Caenorhabditis elegans: one gene and its partner. Changing the gene in region 1 together with any one later gene gives a genetic interaction. Each region holds a gene or a part of one and is shown in the gene's direction. Other genes may lie near its edges.

Region 1 (5,065 bases):
AACCTAGTGCGAATTGTTCTCTTGACGGCGGCAATAAACGGCAGGTAGTTTTGCATTTAAAATGAAACGAGGCACGATTTTTGTCGTTAACATAAGACCAAGATTTCAGTTCTATCAATAATAAAATCTAGTGTAAGGAATAAAAGTGAGGGAAATGACGGCGATTGGGAAAAGACTAACTAGTTCCATGCGATTACTGTTCGACATGGTAGAAGGCGTCGGCTTTTAAATGTATATACGATTTGATATTCGTATGGTGAAACCTAGAGGAATAGAAGGGAGAGACATGGTCATCGGCGGGAAAAGAGAAAGAATAGGGAAAACACGTCATGAAGTGTATATGATAAGACATTTGGGACGATTGGAGCAATATCAGAAACTTTATATGGACGTTAGTCATTTGGAATGTGACTTGTGAACGATAGTTTGAAATGTTGGTGTTGAATCACCTATTCTATAAACATTTTGAATATTTTTGGACAGCTAGCGCATGAATTGTGAAAAAAAAACAAAAACGCGTTGTTATAGAACTTGAAGCAAAACTAAATTGTACAATTATTAATAATTTTTAGTGTGAAATTGAGAATAAATCTGTCATGCGGAGGCAAAACAAAACGAGAGGCAGCTTATCTCACAAAAAACGTTTTCTATTCTTTCTCCGAAATTTGACACTGAATTCAGTTCATAAAAATCCTATTGACAATTAACGAACAAAATTATTTTTAGGGAAACATGGAAGAAACAATTGAAGAATAAAATAAATTATAGAATAGAGTGTTTCAAAGAGAACAGAGATCTTGTTTCACAGAACCATGCTATCGAAAATGAAAAAAAAATCGTAAAAGATCCAGAATACTGGCTTAGCAGCAAAGAAAAAGCCTTCACTTTTCGCGGCGATTTGTGGCGTCAAATCTGATGTCGGCTGTGCGGCTCGTCTCGACGCACAAATGCACACTTGTGTTTGCCGCCGTCTCTTCTTTTCGAATTTCGATTTTTCTCTCTTTTATCGTATTTATTTTTCTTTATTTTCTTCGTTAAATCAAACGTTTTTTTGTTTTAAAATTTGCTAAATGGTTCTCGCGGCTTAAATATGCATTATCAGTCGGAAAATCTCCAAGATGTTTCAGAGAATTGCTCCGATAGATAAATTTCGAAATTGTTCCTCTTTTTGAAAACTTAATTTTCGGTTCGGGAATTTTAAGAGAGTTTAGAGCATTCTAGTCTTTCTGTAAGATATCAAGTCAAATTTTGCTCGAGTGGCCTATTTGTAAGTAAAGAAGCAAATAAGGTGCGATCACAAAACTTTTTACTCATCTGTGCATAAGTTTTCGATCATTGTTGTAACATAGTTTTTCAATTCGATGTCAAATCAAGTATTACATTGGCGAGACAGTTCAGTAAATAATCTTTTATCTCTTTCAACAATAAAAATGGGCCACTCAGCGAGCAGATTATTTTAGTTACAATTAATTTTCGACTTGTTAGCAATCAAAATGGAAATAAAATTTCAATTGTTTTTTAAAGAAGCCCGTTGTTATATGAAAACATTTGCTTATCGTCTAATTGATTCTAGTTCAACTCATTCAGAAAGCTTAATCCAAGATCCGTGTTCCATCAGCCAACATGAACAGAAATCGTCGAGACGGACCACAGCGTGATGTTAAGCGAGAGCGTCGGAGCCGATCCAGAAGTCCAAGAAGAAGTATAGTTTTTGATATTCTTCATTCCCGTTTCCACCATTTTTTCCATAGAAATCCTTCTCTATTTTCCATTTCCTTAAGGTCGTATCGGCGCTGCTGTTGGAAGTAACAATGGGAACTCATCATCGAACAACCGAATGGTTTTTATCACCAATATCGCCTATGAGGCTCGTTGGGTCGATTTGAAAAGTCTAGTTCGCGAGAAAGGAGGTGAAGTCGCTTTCTGCGAGTTGCTCGAAGACCGTAACGGCAAGCCAAAGGGTAACGCTGTGGTTGAGTTCGAAACTCGTGAGGGTGCCGAAAAATGCGTTGAGAATCTACAAAAGTTCGACTGGAAGGGAAGAACCATCATCGCCAAAGAAATTCGGGTCCGTATCTATTTAATTTTGACACTCACATTCAGAAATTTTCATCCATTTTTTATTTTTTCTGTAGGATCCGAATGCTTTCTTCCGAACCATCAAAACTGAAACAGGCATTGATTACTTGTCTCGTACCGGAGGTGGTGGTGCAGGAGGACGAGGTCCTCCACCAAAAGATCTTGATCGCCCTACTCGAACTGGAACTTATGATTTATTCGGTCTCAATATGGAATTCCTTCGCCAACACAACATTGAACCGCCACTCTGTGAGCGCATCTTCATCGCCAATGTAGGTTTCAAATATTCTTCTTCTCGAAGGGCTCCACATCTAGACCACGTTCACTTGCTGGGTCTTTATCTCAGTTTTGAGATATGAAATTATTCGAATGGGAGAAATAAATGCAATTTTTCATTTTGGTGTTTTTAAACGGAATAGTAGTAGGAAGCTTTCTACGTGGAATTATATACAACAAAATGGAATCAGTGCTTATTATAGTTTGTTCAGACAGTTGCATCCTCCGGGTAGATCTCTCAGTATCATACGAATAAAATATAGCATCACTAATTCAGTTACTAAATACCATTCTTAGTTCCCAATCAGAGGTGGTTGGCAATTATTTTCGGAAATGCTACAAAATGACCTATTGCGACATGTTTTTTTCAAAAGTTTTCATCAAAAATTAGTCTGAAAATGTAGATAATCACTTGATTTATCTGAAAATTAAAAAAAAATTATCTCGTTTTAAACATTTGGAAAAGTGCGCGAAAATGACCAAAAGTTGCCATTTGCCGAGAAACGATAATTCAACAATTTGATGATCGGCAATTTGCAACATCCTGGTATTTTTGAAGCGCTTTTCCAAGTGTTTTATCTGAAATAAGTGTTATTTTCAGATTTAAAAAAGTGATTTTCTATATTTAACATGGCGAAATATGTCATTTTATAGAATTTCCGAAATTCCACTTCTGTTTCCAAGACAATATTATTAATCAAACATTTTCAGTTGGCTTTCAATGTCGGAACCGATAAGCTTTACGAAGTCTTCGGTATGGCCGGTAAAATCACCTGGATGGACTTCCGCATTGATAAAGAAGGAAAGTCAAAGGTTTGTTAATATTTATAGTTCCTATAAAATATAAATGGTGTCTTCCAGGGAGTATGCGTAATTCAATACACTCACCCAATTGAAGCCGTACAAGCCGTTTCGATGCTCAATGGTCAGCGACTTTTTGATCGAAATCTGGTTGTGAAAATGGATAGATTCGATAAGGAACTGGAGCACAAAGAAGGTGGACTTCCACGAGGTCTTGAGTCAATCGGAATGGGTCTTGGAGCAGAAGGAGCACCACTTTCCAATGTTCATGGAATGTTCCCAGGAGATGCTTCAGTGCCGGTAAGCGATTTAAAACAAATTTCATCGGTGTGGTATATACTAGCATTCAATGGTGGTTTTAGATTTTTTTAAATCGAAAAATTAATTTTTTTTAAACAGAAATTTTCGGGTTTCCAACATTTTGATTTTTCGAAAAATGGCCTTTTATAAGAAAACGATATGTTTTCTTATGTTTTTCCCCATCAACAATCTGAAAACTTAATACAAAAATGGGTTTTTATATTCCAATTTGCTAAACATGTTTTTCGATTTTCAGAACAAACGGAACTTTCTCTGAAAAAAGCACAAAAAATGTTCGATGAAACTCTTGATAACAAATACTCAATTATAAAATTTTTAAAAGTTAATTTAATTATCTATATTTCAGTTCACAGCTCCAGCTGCCCCATTCGTAGGTGGACCACAAGTTGTTTCGGCTGGTGGTTTTGGAGGAGTCGTTGAACAAGCCAACTTTGCCCGATCCGTCATGAACAATGGACCATTTGGAGGAAATGCTGGTGTTGGTGGTGCTGGTGGAGCCACATTTGCTCAACCTGACGTCTTTGGTGTCAATGGAGCTGGTGGACTCGCCGGTGCTGCGACACCCCAGGCAACAAGGGTTATTATCATTCGCAACGTAAGTTTTCAATTCAAATTTCAATTTGTTCTCATTTATGATCTGTTATTCAGCTTCCAAGCGATTATACCTGGCAAATTGTCCGTGACCGTGTTCGAAACTTCGGAGAAGTCGACTCTGTTGATATGATGGCGCCAGGAGCTGCTCGCATTCGTTTTGCAACTTTCCAAGACGCTGAACGTGCTCGTGCTGCCCTCTATGGATCCACTGTCGAAGGCCGCATGATCAGCGTTGACTACGCCTAATTCATTCCCCCTGTTATATTTGTATTTGAAACTTCTCACGTTTCTCTTGAATCATCATCTATTATCTTTATTTTATCCGTTTTTTCTCCATCTCTATCCTTCCTTATCCCTTTAAAAAGGCTTCCTTGTCAACGGAATCTCAATAATTTAAAACATCTTCCTCATTTTCATCACTCTAAAACTATTTCTCATATTTTCCTCTGGCAGGATGGTGACAAATAAAAGTTTTAATAATAAATGACGTGACAAGTGTGTCTTCAGATGAGCGCCGCACAATTTGAGGTGCTATTCAGAAGACAATTTAGCATGTGTGTCCCGCATCAAACAAGAGCTTCACGCAATCTGATTTGCGCGCGACAACTGCTGCTCAAACGTTTTACCGTATGCCCTTAATTGCGTTTTGAAGACGTCTCTCTCCTTCATGAGCAAAAGATAGTCACGCCCATGAAGAATCCTTTGTTGCTGAGAAAACGATGATGAGCATTGTGTGTGTCTATTTGTATGCTCACAACTTTCTTTCGTTTGTCTATGTTTTCATTTTTGACGCCTTTCTCTGGATTACGGTACCTTGAGGCTTTTGGAGAAGGATTCTGAATTCTGCTTTATAACGAGTACTGTTATATCAATTTTTTTAAAAATTAATTGTTTTTATTTCAAAACCGGCAATAAAAAATTTTGGCACCAAAAATACCGTTCCTGGTCTCGTCACGACAATTTTTTGTTAAATACAAACGGGTGTGCGCCTCAA
Region 2 (6,160 bases), on another chromosome or scaffold:
CAAAAAATGCAGGAATTTAGACGCAGACATCTCGTCTGATTTCGCATGGAACGTGCTGACGTCACAATTTTTCTGGGAAAAAATTCCCGCATTTTTTGGAGATCAAACCGCTATGAGACAGCCTGACACCACGTGGGGTCATTTTTACAGGCTTTAGCATACGGTTACAGTGAAAATTATCCGAAAAATACTTATTTTGGACCCCAGTTCGTCCGTTCTTATTCCTTCTTCCGCTTTGCAAATATACACTCACTTTCGTTACATACTTCATTATCACTACTTACTATCGATAGTGCAGGTATTGCAATGGTTCTTCCACTATGATGAATCACTTCGTATTTTTGACAACTAAAATACGTACACTCCTTCTCGATAAGCAATGCCACACAATGTGTTGCGAACCTTGCAATAAAATCGATCCAATTAGAGAATCTGCTCTAGCAGCGTCCAATTGATCGATTGTAAAATTTGCAAGTCAAAAGCATATTGTGCATTGTCCCCTTCCACCAGCAGTCGTTCTTTCCTAAAAAGCCATAAATCGTCACATTATTCAGTTTGTTTGAAGGCAGTGTAACCACGGGAAACCGCGTATATGTCAACACTCGCACACAACGCCAACACAAGTAAAAATAATTAACGGTTGGCTTGTTTTTCGTTTTTCATTTTTCACCTGAAAGCTCTGCCACAGCTTTTTCGTTTTCACTTTGATAAGAGAGTCGGCTCACAAATTCCACCAGTTCTCATTAGACACATTGTCACCTTCTTTCTATGTGCGCTGAGCTCTTCAACTACTCTTAATCCTATTTCTCTCAGCTTATAAGTTATTGAGTTTTTTTTGTTAAGTATGTATTTTTTTTCTCCAAATTCACGTCTTCTTCTTCCTTATCGACATTTCGTGCCAGTAATTCCGAAAATGGGTCACCCACCGCGAAGATGAAAATCTTTAAAATGGAGATTTTGGTCGAGATATAAAGAAGGAATTGAATATATAGAACGTTCCTCCATTCGCAGAAATTATTTTCTATTGAACAGTGGTTTCATAGAATAGTTTGAGGATTGACTTTGCCAGATTTCATTCCTCGTGGGGTACTGTACCTCGTTATAAAGCAGAAAATTCGAAATTTTGTGCGAAGGTCTCAACACGACAAAGTTTTGGTAAAGGAAAAAAAAATGTGTGCGGCTTTAAAGATTACTGTAATTTTTAACTTTCGTTGATCTGGAATTTTCATCGATTTCCCAAAAGTATGTGTGTTCGTTTAAAGAATATAACACTAAAACACATACATTTTCCTGAAAAATCTATGAAAATTCTGCAACAATGAGAGTTTGAAGCTACAGTAATCTTTAAAGGCGCGCGTCTTTTTTCATGTCACAAAATGTTGTCGTGTCGAGACCTGCAGCTACTGTATTTTTGAAACTAAAAACGAAAAATGCCTATTAAACTTTTTTCTACACTTATTGCTGGAACTTTTTATCAGAATTTCTTTCTCACTCCAGAAAAAATTTAGTATTAGCAATTTCTCTGTCATCTTTTTTTCCAAATATTGCATTCAAATCTCCCGCCAAAAGCAATATTTGCACCGATCAATTTCATTTTGTAGCGTCCCAAAACGCCACGTTAATAAATACTATTTGGTTCTGCGTATTTTTTCTCCTCGAATGTATTCTCGTCTCCTATCTATTTCTCTCTCTCTCACTCTTTGCATTCTACTCACCATCCACGTTTACCACGTTATTTCTCTAAATTATTTCTCTTTTTCGTATGATTCTCTCGTTTTTATGTAATCTCTCTCTCTCTATCTATCCGTCTCGATGTGCTGTGCTGGGGATGGAAAGGCGACTGGCCGTCGTTGCTGTTAGTATTTTACTATCGCTGTGTGTGTGCGTGCCCCCAATTCCTCCCCAGTTTCAGAAGTATTCTCGCTATTAATTTCTTATTTTATATATATATATTGATACAGTGCATATATTTATTCCAGTGAACCTATAATAATAATGTATCACAATAACAACTATGGATATAACAATCATCGTGGCGGTGGAGGTTTCCGTCACAATAATTACAACAACAACAACAATAACCATCATCATCACTACAACAATTTGCCGAGAATCAATGAGACGCAAGTTCCTCAGTCGAAGCACACGATTTTTATTCGAGGACTTCATGGTGATATTTCGACGGAAGAGATCAAGTAGGCTATTTGTAGAGAGAAAATGTTTGATTGAAAGTTTTTTGCCAAGTTTTCTATTCAAAATCATTTCAGATATTTAAATTTCCAAATCAATAATCAGTATAATCATTATTATATTTCAGTCGGAAAAGAGAGTTCTATCCTACTATGTGTTGATTATTACCTACAGGGAGATTATTTTCCCACACACACACACACACACACACCCAACATTAATTCTAATTCATTCTAAAATAATTTGATGATGTCGCGCTGTGGGATACGGTCTTTTCTTTTGCAACGAATTTTGCAACAAATGATTTACAATTACAATTACAAGTCTCTAAAATTTTCCACCAGTTTTCACATTGTGAGTGTATTACATATCAATATATATATTCGAGTGTGTGACACCCCCCACCCATCTCTTTCTCTTTTTCCCCCGTCTCTTTTTTCTCAAATGGAATATATTTCTCATGCTTTTGAATTAACACCAAATGCACGAGCTATTCTATATTCAACATACCTAATTCATTTTCAGACTCCAAAAAAGTTGTGGCCCCCCACGAAATTGTGAAATTCTCCCACACTGCCCTTTTAATTATATGCCTGTTTTAGGGAATATATTGGCGAAAAAGTTGGAAAAATCTCGTTCGATTTCGTGAAAGTGGCTCAAGATAAGAGCAAGATATTCGTGGCTGTTCGATTTGAGAATCGTGATGAGGCTAAGGAGTTTATGGAGACGTAAGTGGATCAGGGATAGGCGGAAATTCTATAAAATGGCCTATTGCTCCATTTTTTTCTAGTTTCTCAGCTGAAAAGAATGGTGTTTTTAGATAAATTGTGTGAATTTATATATTTTGACACTATTTTTCAATAAAATATTGTAGAATTGCCGAAAATAAGAAATTCAAAGCAACCCTCTCCATTTTCAGATATTCGGATCGTGAATTCATGGGATGCCGTTGTGATCTCTCTTGGTTCCGTGATATACGTCGTTATTGTGCCTATCAGCGTGCCAAGCAGGTTCGAAGCAACAGTCAACGCCGCCGTCGTCGTTCTGATTCACAAGAGTCTTCGAAGAGATCTGCGTCGCCACCAGTGAGAAGAGGACGATCGAAGAGCCGATCTAGAAGCAGAAGTCCGTCGAGAAGCCGATCGAGAAGCCGCTCAAGAAGTGTGTCTAGATCAAAGTCGCCGGCATCTAGAAATGGAAGAGTCTCTCGGCATCGTAGTAGAAGTCAGAATCGATCGAGAAGCCGATCGAATACCAGAAGCCGGTCTCGTAGCTCGGGAAGATCGGGCAGTGCTCACTCGAGAAAATCGGATGATGTTGATTCGTTCGACGATGAATCGTTTGATGAGAAGTCTCGAGTCAAAGATAATGAAGCACGACAGAAGAGACGTAGAGAGTTGTCAGATGATGATCGGAAAGATGTACGAGAAACTCAACCAAAGAAGAGTGTGAAGGAAGAGCTTCCTCAAATCCCACTTCCACCGAAAACTGAAGCAGCAGCATCGCCATCTCCAGCTCCACCAACTCCAAAAGCTTCAAAATCTGCATCGTTCATTCCACCACCGACGGCAGATGATATGGAATTGGAAAGTCCTCCACATGTTTCCAATAATCAATATGAGTACCAGCAATCCAACAACACATATAATCAAATCAGAACTGGTGCAAGTCCAGTTTCAGTATCCTATTCAGTGCCAATGGAAGTTGAAGCAACTCCGAAGATGATTGTTAGAGAGAGTAAGAGGAGTCACTAAAGGAATTTCTCAAAAAAAGGGCTATTTCTTAACTCAAATCTGAAATTTCGCCGATTTTCAAGAGTCACAACGGCCGGAAATAGATTTTTATCTGTAAAATAAAACAATAATCGAACAAAAAAATGAATTTATAACCGCTGCGACCAGGGAAAATTGCCGAAAATTCAGGGTTTAGTTAAAATTGGCCCATTTTTTCGAAATTTTTGGAACCGCCATAAAAGCTTTTCTTGAAATTTTTCGATATCTATTTAGTGTCAATTTTTGAATTTTCAGCCCCACAACCTGCTCAACCGCCAGTTCAAGTCAATTCTTATTATACCACTACACCTATTCAGCAACAACAGCAACAACAGCAACCAATACCACCACAACTCCCTACAGCGTAAGTTCATTACCCAGACGCCAAATTTTTTGAGAGTTTTGCTCCAAAAATACGGTTCGTGGTCTCCAAGCGACAGTTTTTTTTTTTGATAAATACAAACAGGTATGCGCCTTTAAAGTGTACTGAAATATTTGTCGATTTTTTGTTGAAAATCATTTTTTATTTTAACAAATCGTGAGAAAAACAATTGAAAGCACTGCTAGGAAATTTAGAAGCTACAGTACTCTTTAAAGGTGCGCACCTGTTTGTAAGTATTTAACAAAAATTTTTCGTGTCGAGACCCGGTACCATATTCCCCGCGGGGCAAATTTTCACGTTTGTGTAATCCGTTTTAGTCCACCACAACCACCACCGACCACGCCCCAACCTGCGTTTGTGCCCCGTCAAATTGGCAGAATCGAAATAGTTATGCCTTCTTCTCTGCCGGCTCCAGTGGTTTCAGCTGCTGCTGCTTCTGCTTCTGCCGCTGCTCACCCAGTTGCTATGAATGGGTCTGCTATCAGTGGTGGTTCAAGTATGCCCGACATTACAATGCACCCCAACACGAATAAGTATGAATTTCGAAATTCCCTGAAAAACTAATATTTATTCTCTAATTTTTAATATTTCCCTCAAAAAATCAATGTTTTCCAGACTCTTTGGTCATCTCAAAGCCTTCCAATCTGCTCTCCTCTCCACTGTCAAGTATGAGCCGCCAGCGAGAAAGGAAGAAGACGAAGGTAACCATTGACAACCGGCGGGGGCTTTTTCGAAAAACAATATATAATTTCAGCTGGATTCTCTACTCTCCGTCTCTCATCACTAGCCACTGAAGATGACTCGGCGGACGAGGAGAAGGCGATGGTGAGGGAGTTGAAGCTTGCGAAGCTCAACGATGAGCAAATGATGCGTTTCCATATTAAGAAGAAGCAACTCGAATCGGTAAGTTTTCAAGTTACTCATTGACTAATTTGAGTCAAATTTTCTATTTTTCAGGCTTTTCGCAACGATTGTGAAACATATGCGGTCGTCACACGTGCTCTTCTCGCTAAAGACGAGTCTCTACAATTCGGACTGAAAATGGCATTGCTCGAGAATATGGAGGATTTGTACAAAAAGATGATGCAACGTGTCGATGATCAGCTCGATGCTCTGCTTGTGATGGCTTAAACTGGGATTTTTTCTTTAATCAATTATGTAAAAACATATATGCTTATTCTTCTCCAATTTTCAAATGGAAATGATCTCCCTTCATCAAATGTAATCCCATCCTATCCAAACTTTCTGATCGTGATAATAATTGTATTTCTGTAATGAAGTACTTCAAAAGGATAAAGTGATTTATAGATTTACGAAGCGGACTTTGTTTGGGAATTGTAAAGTTAAATACAAAGGAAATAGTGGGAAGAAATTTTGTTTTCGGGACGAAAATTGAAATTTAAAAAAAGGGTTCTCGGGGAATCACATGAGGATAGAGACTGGAAAAGAGAAAATACAATAAATTAAAATCGGTTGAAAATGAACATTGGACAGGAGAAACAAACGGAACGGGAATCGTTTTTTTTATAGAGGCGACAAAAAAGAGCAAAAGCAGCATCAGAAGCGTCAAATCAGAGTACTCAAAAGAAGGGAATGGATATTCAATTATTCCTGATCATTCAACGACAAGTGAGTGATGTTGGTGAAGTCGAATTCTTTGGTCGTTCCACGTTCGAACATGTTGAGCACGTCCTGAAAAATGAATAATTATAATTTCTTTCAAAAATTGTTTTAAATTCTTTAAATTACCTTGCAAGTGGTTTCAAAGTGAGTCGTAGCATCATAAGATTGAGAGATGAAGATCTGTGACTCAGAT

What was found. A genetic interaction does not mean that the proteins touch.
Region 2: changes in sup-46 (region 1) and melo-1 impair growth when combined (synthetic growth defect), as found in Caenorhabditis elegans (one study listed by BioGRID).

The regions. Positions count from the first base shown.
Region 1 is NC_003279.8:10,169,126-10,174,190, reverse strand, and holds sup-46 (RRM domain-containing protein), read left to right. Parts: upstream 1-1,587; 5' UTR 1,588-1,623; coding exon 1,624-1,702; intron 1,703-1,781; coding exon 1,782-2,068; intron 2,069-2,135; coding exon 2,136-2,351; intron 2,352-3,066; coding exon 3,067-3,168; intron 3,169-3,216; coding exon 3,217-3,456; intron 3,457-3,823; coding exon 3,824-4,072; intron 4,073-4,125; coding exon 4,126-4,317; 3' UTR 4,318-4,552; downstream 4,553-5,065.
Region 2 is NC_003282.8:14,785,189-14,791,348, forward strand, and holds melo-1 (RRM domain-containing protein), read left to right. Parts: upstream 1-1,979; 5' UTR 1,980-1,995; coding exon 1,996-2,195; intron 2,196-2,317; coding exon of another isoform or gene 2,318-2,351; exon of another isoform or gene 2,352-2,792; coding exon 2,793-2,918; intron 2,919-3,109; coding exon 3,110-3,927; exon of another isoform or gene 3,928-4,217; coding exon 4,218-4,326; exon of another isoform or gene 4,327-4,661; coding exon 4,662-4,877; exon of another isoform or gene 4,878-4,959; coding exon 4,960-5,045; intron 5,046-5,098; coding exon 5,099-5,247; exon of another isoform or gene 5,248-5,301; coding exon 5,302-5,475; 3' UTR 5,476-5,655; downstream 5,656-6,160. Other genes in the region: gdi-1 (Rab GDP dissociation inhibitor), read right to left, coding at 5,950-6,036, 6,094-6,160.